Stegostoma tigrinum: one gene and its partners. The main gene of each other region encodes a partner of the protein of the gene in region 3 in a complex. Links are inferred from orthologs where the notes say so. Each region holds a gene or a part of one and is shown on either strand. Other genes may lie near its edges.

Region 1 (3,753 bases), on a different chromosome or scaffold from region 3:
ATCTCCTGACTTGATGGTAATGATGGTGTTAGACGTGTTAGGCCATCAAGTTGTAGATTGCATTGGGAGTACAATAAAGGCTATTCTATTCTGGAGTATCATTACAGCCCACAGTGCCTCACGGATGTTTAGTCTGGATTTGCTAGATTAGTTCACAACCTATCCCATTGAGCACGATGGTAGTTCTAATGAAGGGTGTCTCCATGTGAAAGTGGGTTTTTGTCTTCACAAGTACTGTGGTGGTCACTCTTGTTGATACACCTACCTCCTCTATTACTCAACCAGCTCAGTCAGCTGTCATGCAGCAAAGCCACCCTTGGTAAATGTGGCATCATTTTAAGCATTCTTTGTGGAAAAGCCAGACGGCACGGTGGCTCAGTGGTTAGTACTGCAGCCTCACAGCGTCAGGGACCCGGGCTCAATTCCAGCCTCGGGTAACCGTGCGGAGTTTGCACATTCTCCCCGTGTCTGTGTGGGTTTCCTCCGGGTGCTCCGGTTTCCTCCCACAGTCCAAAGATGTGCAGGCTAGGTGGATTGGCCATGCTAAATTGCCCATAGTGTTCAGGGATGTGTGGGTTACAGGGGGATGGGTCTGGGTGGGATGCTTTAAGGGGTGGTGTGGATTTGCTGGGCCAAAGGGCCTGTTTCCACACTGTTGGGAAACTAATCTTTAAAAAAAGTTACTCTCAGTAAAATTAGTTCAGATAGTTAATACACACATAAGAAAGGAAATTCATCCTCATCCCTCCATTTCCTCAAGAAATGGAGAAACAGGCAATTCTGAAGTGCAGAGAGAGTGGAACTGTAGATCCATCTTCTATCCACCTCCCCCTCTCTCCCTATTTATTTCAGAATCCCCTTCCCCATTTCTGAAGAGTCTAGGCCCGAAACATCAGCCTTCCTGCTCCTCTGATGCTGCTTGGCCTGCAGTGTTCATCCAGTTCTATACTTTGTTAATTCTGAAGTGCAATTATGTTCGTACTATTTTCTAATATCAAAAAAACTACAACTGAGTTCCCATAAACTACAAACAAAATGACCTGGTAGAAGAACTTTTTTGGCAGTGTTGGAAAAGCAGAACGCTGGCCAGAACACCAGGAGAATATTATGCTCCACTCTGAATGGAGCCATAAGGTTTGTTTTCCATCCAGTTGAATCATTCCCTCATTTGACCATCTGTCTTTTTGACAGAGCAGGGCAATGTAGATCGCACCCGAGATTATGTATATGTTCTGGAGACGGGTTTCCAACAACATTTTGACTCATGAGCGTGCAACACTTCCAAAATATCACTAGCTCACCCTTCTACTGAACCACAAAAGATATTTAATCCACCATACCTCTGCCAGCTCTTTCAAAAGGGCCACCACTTCCTCAAACTTTCTACAGAATTTTCCTCTTCCAATTTTTTATTCGACTCCCATCTAAAAGTTACTTCTGAATCCTTTTCGGGAAGTACTTCCATATCGCAGCATGTCACTGCACAAAACACAGTTATTAATTTCACAGCAACTCAGTGGTTAGCACTGCTGCCTCAAGTGCCAAGGACCTCGGTTCGATTCCAGCCTCAGGTGACTATCGGTGTGGAGTCTGCACATTCGCCCCAAGTCGGTTCCTACTGACGTTCCGGTTTCCTCTCACATCCAAAAACGTGCAAGTTATCTGGATGAGCTATGCTAAATTGTCCAGAGGCATGGAGTCCGGGCGGAATGTTCTTCGGAGAATCGGTGTCGACTCAATGGGCCAAATATTATGTCCCTCTTACTGTCGGGATGCTATGGTCTGATCTGTGTATATATCCAACTTATATTTTTTTCCCCGCGCATGCCCCTATCCCTACCCCAAATATTCTAAAAGGAACTGTTGATTCTGTTTGTATCACCCCTCGCATGAACTCGTCCTGTCAGGGTACGACCCAAACCAACTCGGCAATGCCACCCCCTCTAACCTCCGATCCGTTCGTAAAATCCACACCTTCGCTCCAACTAATGTTGCCCCTAAAGCACGTCGAACTGAATTTAAAACGCCCACAACAACTATACCGCATACGAACCTCGTAGAGAGACGAGTTTATGGCGGACACCGGCCAACGATGTTTCTCGACCCCGGCACGTTAAAGAGCAACACCTTTCCCAATTCCAGCGCTGGTTTTCACGTCCGAATATCCCACAATGCAGTAGGTTATGGTGGCCCAAATGGAAACTAACGGAAGCGCTTGATCGCCGTTTTGAATTTTATTCATCGTGTAGTCGCTGATCCGAAGTCTGATCTCGTTTCAGATGGTAAAGGAGGTTCCTTCTTCTGTAATGCCATGACAAGTCAACTGTAGCTATTAGCGATGATTCAAGCATTTTTTTTCCAAATACGTAAGTTAACCGTCAATAAAAACAAAATTTAACACAAAAAATCTGCTGAAATCTAAGGTAGACAATAGGAGGCTGGAAGAACACAGCAGGCCAGGCAGCATCAGGAGGAAAGCAGCAATCAACGTTTCTAGTATTACCCTTCTTCAGGACTGAAAATGATACCTTCCCAGGATTTTTATTTTAATATTGATGTTTTAATCATTATCTTTGATGTTTCGAAGGCATCCTGTATCCGATACGCTGCTGAGTGCACCAACGGACGCTTGTGAACTTCCTCTGCAAAGGAACCTGGCAAGCCCTGGTCTGTGGTAGTAAACTAGGTAGAATGCTCCTCCAGTACCGTGACCCCGACTCCACGTTCCTTGATCACCATCCATACCAAACAGCCTCACACGCTTGATGGCCCGTGTTGCCTCTTGGCAGTGACCTATGCAGAAAATCCAAATACAACCTTGGTAACGTCATCAGAGGCACCAAGAGGAGTTTTATTTTACCACAGAAATCGACTGACCTGGATGAGGTCCCAGGCTATGTACTCAGATCCCTGTGTGAACCAGTAGCCGGGAACATTCACAGACATCTTTAACCTCTCCTCACTACGATGTGAAGTTCCCACTTGCTTCAAGAAGACCACCATTTTCCTGGTGCCACATAAAATTTATGCAGCCTGCCTCAATGATTGTCTCCCAGTGGCTGTGACCTCCATAATTATGAAATGCTTCGAGAGGTTAGTCATGGCTCATGTCAATTCCAGCCTACATAACTGCCTTGAGTCTGTGCAATTTGCTAACAGAGAGTGCTGCTGAGAAAGATTCAGGGAGGAGTCATCTCAGTCATTGCCCTGGAGTGAATAAAAGGAAGGCAAGTTGTAGCAGAGCAGCCATTTTGAGAAAGGCAGCTTTCTAGTTGAACTGCTGGAGGTTTAGATGTGGGCTTAAGTGAATACTGGGCTTGGGAGAGGAGGGTGAGCAGCAGCAGGGTGAGGTAGTTGGAGGAGGAGTGAACTACTGCAGCTGCTGAAGACACAAGGGAAAAGGAGAAGTAGAAGAAAGTTTAACTGTGAAGTCACAGGCAGCAGGTAAGTGAATGGCTTGTGCCTGTTGAGTAATTTAGCATCTCTCTTACTTACCCCTTGCTTTGCTACTGCTGTTAACATAAGGATAAAGTCATGGCAGGAGATCCCAGACCCATGTCATGCTCCTCCTGTGAGATGTGGGAATTCAGGGACCCTAACAATGTTCCTGACTCCTCCACGTGCTGGAAGTGTGTCTAGCTGCTCCTCCTGTCAGACTGCTTGATGGCTCTGGAGGCTTAGTTTCAAGAACCCACCTGCCCCAGTGGAGTGCAGTAATATCTCTGAACAGGTTGGCTGAAAGAAAATGTAAAG
Region 2 (3,753 bases), on a different chromosome or scaffold from region 3:
CTTTCGTATTGCTCTGATGCTGTGTTCCTCCAGCTCCATCCACACTGTTGTGTCTAATACAATGTTAATACACAATACGTCACATGCTACAAGTCACTGCGCGTGGCGACACAAAATACAACGCTTTTAAGAGAAAACATATGAAAGACCAGCAGCAATAGAATCCATTAAATTGTCGGCCTACTATATATATCCAAACTGTTCAATAATTGCTTTTGTTCTCCCAGAGAAGGAAATCTGGCGTCCTCACTCACAGCAGCCTGTATGTGGTGCCAGTCCCTCACCAACGTAGCTGACCTCTGAAATGAACATCACTTGCACCCAACCCCGACGCCAAGGTGACCGGGGATGGATAATAAATGCAGGCGTAAAATCAAAAAGACAGTGGTAGCGGGGAAGAGAAGAAAGGGAAGACGCCATTGGCGACGGCTATCACCTCCTCCAGATGAAGTTGCGATGCTCGCTGAGGGGCCAGGTGCAGGAAGCAGTCCTTGATGTTGCCGAGTCTGAGTTGCACGCAGACGGCCCCGGCAACCAACATCCTGCCGCGCGCTGCCAAAGGGCACAACTCGCGCCGCTTACACCGTTAGGCGCAGGATTCCACAGATTCGAACACAGACCGCATTCGCCAGATCCAGCACAGCCAACTTCCGTCAGTTTCCGTTTCCGAAAATGACCTACCGACGCAAGATTTCTTCGATTGACCTCTGACCGACCTATCACATCCCGAGCTCAACGGGAGGGCACGGAGGAGGCGGGACTCCATCCGGGGCCGGTGCCAAACGATCTAGTCATCGAGCGATCGGTACTCGATTGCGATCGTCTCTTCTTCGATCAAAGATGGCTGTTCGGGTTCCTGAGGTGTTCAGACACCATCGGCAGGAAAACGTCTGCTTCACGCGACCCAAGTACCGAGAGGGTCGGAGGCTGAGGGCTGTCAAAGTAAGTGCTGCTTCGGATGTAGGTGAAGGTTTGTGAAACAACCCGATCCCGTCCTGCAGCTCATTGATTGCGAGGAATGCAAAAGTCTTTCGTTGAATGCAATGTTGTTCTCAATGAGGATACAACATGGCTGTCTGGTGGAAAGATGCGAATATTTTGGAGTTTTCTTGGATCTTTAGAAGACGTTTATCGTTTTCTTGTCGACATTGAGCGTGATCCAGATTTCCACTTTATGGTCGAAAACATTTAATAATTTACTGCTAAATTATCTAATTTCAATGGCAAAATATTGCGCTCGATTACCTCACCAGAAAGAATTCTGTCCTTCCAATTCTTTCCTTTGTAATTATAAACAGTTCGGTTATGATCTAAACGTTAGCGGGTATAAACAGGTTATTTAAATTAACCCTGTAAACTCTAGAATATTTATGATTCTTGGCTAGAGATTCACTCTGTCGACTGAAGTATAATAATTCTAGCAGTTCGCTTGAACGGTATTCTAATTTAAACACTGACTCCCTCCACCACAGTGACAGTATTACATACAAGATACATTACAGGTGCATTCAAGTAATTTCAATAACACCTTACAAACCCATGAGTTCTACCACCTAGAAGGGCAAGAGCCGCGGTTACGTGGGAAACCACCACCTGTAACTTCTCCAAGCCGCACTCGGGACCGTATTTCGGTTCCTTTAATTTTGCTATCAAAATTCTGAAACTGATTTCCTAACACTACGGCGAAATAAGTAAACCACGTGGACTGCAGCAATTTGAGAAGATAGTTAAGCATTTGTTTGTTTTTCAAGAGCAGTTAAGAACAAACAACAAATTCCTAGCCAATGTTCACATGTAATGGCATATTTTAAAATTCTGCATTTTAGAACTGAATGACGGCTTCCAATTTCACCACCACCTTTCTGCCATACAGCTCATTTGCAGATCTCCTATATCTTTCTTTGTCTTGGAAATACCACAGTCAGTATGGCTATGCATTGGATGACAATGTCATCCCTGCAAAGAGCTTTAGGACTTCACTCACCCAACAGACCTGTTTCTGAACCTGAACAACAATTTGTCAATGCTGTAGAGGACCACAACATTCAAGAGCAGGAGACGTCTATCTGGCCCTTCAAAGCTGTTGTGTAATTAGTAAAATCATGGCTGATCTGATTATGGTGTCAGCTTTACTATTCTGTTTGCAAACCATAATCCTTGATTCCCTTGTTTGTCAATATTCCATTCAGCTCAGCCTTGGATAAGTTCAGTGAGCCATCCTTCACTGCTTTGTGGAGAAGATAATTTGTGATCTCCTTATGTTAGGAATAGAGCATAATGATGAACACGTAGAATTAGAAACAATTTATTGAATCCAAGTAACAATTGCAAAATAGTTGATTTAAATGCACAAATTGTAGTAATTGGATTTAAATACTATTACAGAGACGTGGTTACAGAGTGACCAAGATTGGAAATTGAACATTTGGGATTTAGGAGGGATGGGCAAGAAGGACAAGGAGATGAGATAGCACTCTTAATAGAAGACAGGATCAGTAGATTAGTGAGAGGGAACCTTGGATGAAAGGATGAAGATAGAACAGAGAACATAGAAAAGTACAGCACAGTACAGGCCTTTTGACCCACGATGTTGTGCCTTGGAATAACCCTATTCCAAAAGATGTAGAATCAGTTTGGGTAGGGTAAGGAACAGTAAGGGGCAGCACAATTTTTTTCAAGTTTTTTATAGATCACTAAATTGTACAGGTGATACTGGACACAGTACAAATCAGGACATTACACTTGCGTGTACTTGTGGGTAATAAAGTAATAATGGATAATTTCAGTTAACATAGAAGCTGTGTGGAACTTTTACCCTAAACCTAAGGTCTATCTAACCTCCACCAGTACCTTATACTATCTATCGTCCATCAAATCAGCACTAATGCTCTGGAGGATTCCTGGACTGTGAATGAGCTGGATTTCTGGAGCAGTTATATTGAGGAGCCAACTAAAGAGCAGCCCTTGGTGTCTGTTTCCCGAACAAGGGTCTTGGGAAGTCAGAAATTAAATTTAGTATAGATAGTATTTAAAAAGTTAACTTGATTTAAGATTGATGAATTTATGACCTTCATCCCAAAGTATTGAAGGATCATTAAATATCAGAGCAGAATTTGGCCTTTTAGCCCATTGAGTCTGCTGCAACATTCAGTCATAGCTGATGTGTTTCTCAATCCCATTGTCCTGCCTTCTCCCTGTAACCCTTGATTCCCTTAGTGGGATCACTGTGGGAAAAACTATGGGATCTACCACTCTAAAGCAATAATATAGCATTGATGATTTTGAAATCACTGGCTTTGTTTCCCCCACATTCATGTTTGACAATGGTCTAGGTGTACACAATAAATCTGGAATCGAAGCACCTGCTAATACAGGGAGTGCCAGCTGTGGGAGTCATGAAGGAGTTGATTGAACTGTTTGCATTATATGGAACCATTGAAGAATATTCTGTATTGCATGAGTACCCAGCTGAGGAATTCACAGAAGTTTATCACATCAAATACCAAAGATTACAGAGTGCAAGGTAATGAATTAGAAATTAACTAGAATAACTTTTTCAGTTTTGGAGAAATAATATCTTTCATTCTTTCTTTGTACAGTAAACCTTTTACTAACTGGTGCCCTATGGGACCAGTAGTGTGCCAGTTGATCAAGAGGTCCACATAATCAGTATAAAAACACACACTAAGTAATAGAAATGTATTGGGGAAAAAAAACACATCGCTGCTGCACTTTACATCATAAATCACTTAA
Region 3 (3,753 bases):
CGTCACTCCCGAGGGCCCTATCATTAACTCTACAAGTTCTGTTCAGATTTGCCTTCCCAAAATGCAACACGTCATATTTATCTAAACTAAACTCCTCCTGTGACTCCTCTGCCCATTGGCCTATCTAATCAAGGTCCCATTGTATTCTGAGATAACCTTCTTCATTGCCCACTACACCTCCAATGTTAGTGGGATCTGCACATTTACTAACAATATCTCCGATATTTACATCCAAATCGTTTATGTAAGTATCAAAAAGCAGTGGACCCAGCACCATTCCTTACGGCACAGCACTGGTCACAGGCCTCCAGTTGGATAAACAACCCTGCAACACTACTCTCTGTCTGCTATCTTCAAGCCAATTTTGTATCCAATTGGTAAGCTCCCTCTGGATTCCACGTGATTTAACCTTGCTAACCAGTCTGCCTGTGGGACTTTGTTGAAGTCTATGTAGGCAAGGTCCCCCACTCTGTCTTCAATCTTCTTTGTCACTTCTTCAAAAAAACCCATCAAATTATGAAACACCATTTCCCATGCACAAAGCCATGTTGACCGTCCCTAATTAGTCCTTGCTTTTCCAAATGCATGTAAACCCTTTCCCACAGAATCCCCTCTAACAAGTTGCCCACCACTGATATCAGGCTCACTGGTCTATAGTTCTCTGGCTTCACTATCGCATCCTTCTTAAATAATGGCACCACATTAGCCAGCCTCCAGTATTCTGGCACCTCACTTGTGGCTATCAGTGATACAAATATCTCAGTAAGGATCCCAGCAATCTCTTCCCCAGGTTCCTAATGTTCTAGAATACACCTGATCAGGATTTATTCACATTTGTGTGTTTTAGGACATCCAACACCACCTCTATGATATGGACACTTTAAAATATCACTATTTATTTCCCCAACTTCTCTAGCTTTTATGTCCTTCTCCACAGTGAATACTGATGCAAAATACTCTGAGTATCTCATTCATCTCCTGTGGTTCCACATATAGATGGACACATTGATCTTTAAAATGCCTGATTCTCTCCCTAGTTACCCTTTTGCCCTTAATACATTTTTAGAACCTCTTTGGATTCTCCTTAACCCTATTTGCCAAAGCTCATTCCTGTTCCCTTTTTGCCTTCCTGACTTCCCTCTTAGGTATACTCCTACAGCCCTTAAACTCCCCTCGGGATTCACTCAATCCCTGCTGTCTATACCTGACATATCTCTCTTTAGTTTTCTTGACCAAAAACTCAATTTCTCTAGTCAGCCAGCATTCCCTACATTTACCAGCTTTGCCCTTCGCACTAACAGGAACATACTGTCTTTAAACTCGTTATCACATTTTGAAAGACTCCCATTTTCCAACTATCCTTTACTTATGGCTCGCCTTTCCCTATCAACTTTTGAAAGTTCCTGGCTAATACCTAATAATTGGCCTACTCTAGTTTAGAATTTTAACTTTAAGATCATGCCTATTCTTTTCCATAATTATTTTAAAACTAACCGAATTATGATCACTGGAACCTCAGTCACCGATCCTACTTCCCAAGAGAAGATGAGGTGTTACTGCTTGTCAAGCAGGTACATCCACATACGGAATAAGAAAATTTACTTGTACACACAAAGTTCCTCTCCAAGTTCTTAACACCATGGCAGTCCCAGTCTATGTTTGGAAAGTTAAAAGCTCCTACCATGACAACATTATTATTCTTACAGATGTCTGAGAACTCTTTTTTTTCCAGTTTCCCACTGACTATTGGGGGAACCTATAGTACTTCTAAATATATTTTAATCAACCGCTCAGACATGTCATATCACACCTCTGGAGCAGGTAAGATCTGAACCTGGGGCATCTAGCCCAGAGGCAGGGACACTACAAATCTACCATGGTGTACTCAACTGACAAATTCATTGGGTCTGACAGCATTTACTAAGTTAAAAAAATCAGAGTTAATCAGTTCTGAGGAAGGGTCACTGGACCCAAAATGTTAACTCTGATTTTTACTTCACAGATGCTGCTGGACCTGCAGAGCTTTTCCAACAACTTTGTTTTTGTTCCCGATTTACAGCATCTGCAGTTCTTTTGTTTTTAAGACCAATTCATTGATTGGGTGTCAATTACAGGCATCCTGTTTATCACTGACTGACTAGTTATTTTCAGTTTTGTTATTAAAGTTAAATGGGATAAATGAGGGAGTACACCACTCTGGGAAGTGCGGGTAAAAATATTAAACCAAAACCTCATCTCCCTGCTCAGGTGGATGTAAAAGATCCCTTCACAATGTTTTAAAAATGAACAGGAGGGTCTAGGCCCGAAACGGCAGCTGTCCTGCTCGGCTTGCTATGTTCATCCAGCTCCACACCTCACTATCTCGGGTTATCCTCAGTGCCCTGGTTGAGGTTTATCCCTCAGTCTACATCAGGGCTATGGGGAGACGTTGAAGGGAATGGCTCTCCTCCAGAGAGCCAGCACTGACAGAATGGGCCGAACAGCCTTCTCTGATCGCTAGTGGGAGTGAGTGTGAGTGGCCTGCCTGCTTTTTTTTTTCCCTTTCTCTCTCTCCCTCCGTCCCGGGCCTCACCGCCTGCTGCGGAACCCCTGGGACCGCCTCGTTCCTCGGCCGCTTGGTCGGAATCAGCGCCATTTCCTGCGCCTTGCGTTTCTGATCGATCATCGTCCTCGTCGATGTCTCCGAACTCCCGACGGCAAGTCCCTCTCCCAAACTGAGCGCCTTCAGCTAAACGATCTGACCCCCCCCCCTCGCACCCACCTCTCAATAACACGGCCCCTCATTACTCAGCCGTCCGGCTTAGCCCCTCCTTATCGCGTCTTCTATTCGCTACCCCCGGTGTCCATTACCACTGAGGGGGCGCGACCCATGGAGATCCGCTAACCGATTTGCTCAGGGCGATGTCACTCAGTCCAGGCTGAGTAAGGCTCCTCGCAATTGGCTACCTGTCGAAGCTCCAAGATGGCATGGCTTCTGAGGTGTGGGGTTTATTCATTTGCTTCATTATTTTGATTTTCGGTATGACTTATCCAATGGTTTAATGTGAGAATTAGTTTGTAAATGGTATCTATAAAGTGTGATATGTAGGTACAGGACACGAGTTGGCTGAAACAGAAACAAATTGCTGGAGGAACTCAGCGGGTCTGGCTGTTTCTGAGGAGAGAGAAAGCAGAGTTGGCGCTTCGGGCCCACTGACACTTCATCAGCACCTCTTCCCCATAGAAGCTTTCAGGCGTGTGGAGTTACTCCGGCAGTTTATGTTTTTGTTCCAGATTTCCAGTATCCGCAGTCCTTTTCATTTTTACGTACTGCAGGCTCATCAGCAACTCCGGCAGGAGCCCCCACCCCACTGCTTTGAAAATATCAGTGCACCGAGACTGCAGCTCCACCACAGCGTGTGTTCGGTCGAGGGCGAAAGGGCTCTGTCTCTCCGCCTGGTCTTCCAATGCAACGTGGCGGTGTCCTTGCACATTTATAGCCTAGAAATATAGCCCCCACACAGTGTAACTGCCTGTGTTCGCAGAGAAACCTGCTTGTGTACACAGGCGTCATTGATAGTTTCTGTATTCAGAGGCATTCTCTTTCTTCTCTTCAGCTGCTGTGCCCTAAGAGGACTGGAGAACACGTTAATGTATATTTTGATTTATGTTGGCCCATGATGATGCTTGTCGGAGTACCGCAATTGTCTGCTGTCACTTTCTACAGTTTTGCTGATCAGGAGCTAACTCTTTGCTGTCAGGCATATTGAAAAA

What was found.
Region 1: snrnp40 (region 3) and cwc15 share a complex: the UniProt entries of both Homo sapiens proteins name them as parts of the minor spliceosome. The link is inferred for Stegostoma tigrinum from reciprocal best matches to the Homo sapiens genes SNRNP40 and CWC15.
Region 2: snrnp40 (region 3) and rbm48 share a complex: the UniProt entries of both Homo sapiens proteins name them as parts of the minor spliceosome. The link is inferred for Stegostoma tigrinum from reciprocal best matches to the Homo sapiens genes SNRNP40 and RBM48.

The regions. Positions count from the first base shown.
Region 1 is NC_081359.1:46,830,140-46,833,892, reverse strand, and holds the start of cwc15 (protein CWC15 homolog), read right to left. Parts: upstream 2,344-3,753; 5' UTR 2,054-2,343; intron 1,480-2,053; 5' UTR 1,341-1,479; intron 1-1,340. UniProt on the Homo sapiens protein: Involved in pre-mRNA splicing as component of the spliceosome. Component of the PRP19-CDC5L complex that forms an integral part of the spliceosome and is required for activating pre-mRNA splicing.
Region 2 is NC_081355.1:77,255,523-77,259,275, forward strand, and holds the start of rbm48 (RNA-binding protein 48), read left to right. Parts: upstream 1-754; 5' UTR 755-840; coding exon 841-942; intron 943-3,332; coding exon 3,333-3,523; intron 3,524-3,753. Other genes in the region: pex1 (peroxisome biogenesis factor 1), read right to left, coding at 437-541. UniProt on the Homo sapiens protein: As a component of the minor spliceosome, involved in the splicing of U12-type introns in pre-mRNAs.
Region 3 is NC_081377.1:34,184,773-34,188,525, forward strand, and holds the start of snrnp40 (U5 small nuclear ribonucleoprotein 40 kDa protein), read right to left. Parts: upstream 2,744-3,753; 5' UTR 2,666-2,743; coding exon 2,573-2,665; intron 1-2,572. UniProt on the Homo sapiens protein: Required for pre-mRNA splicing as component of the activated spliceosome. Component of the U5 small nuclear ribonucleoprotein (snRNP) complex and the U4/U6-U5 tri-snRNP complex, building blocks of the spliceosome.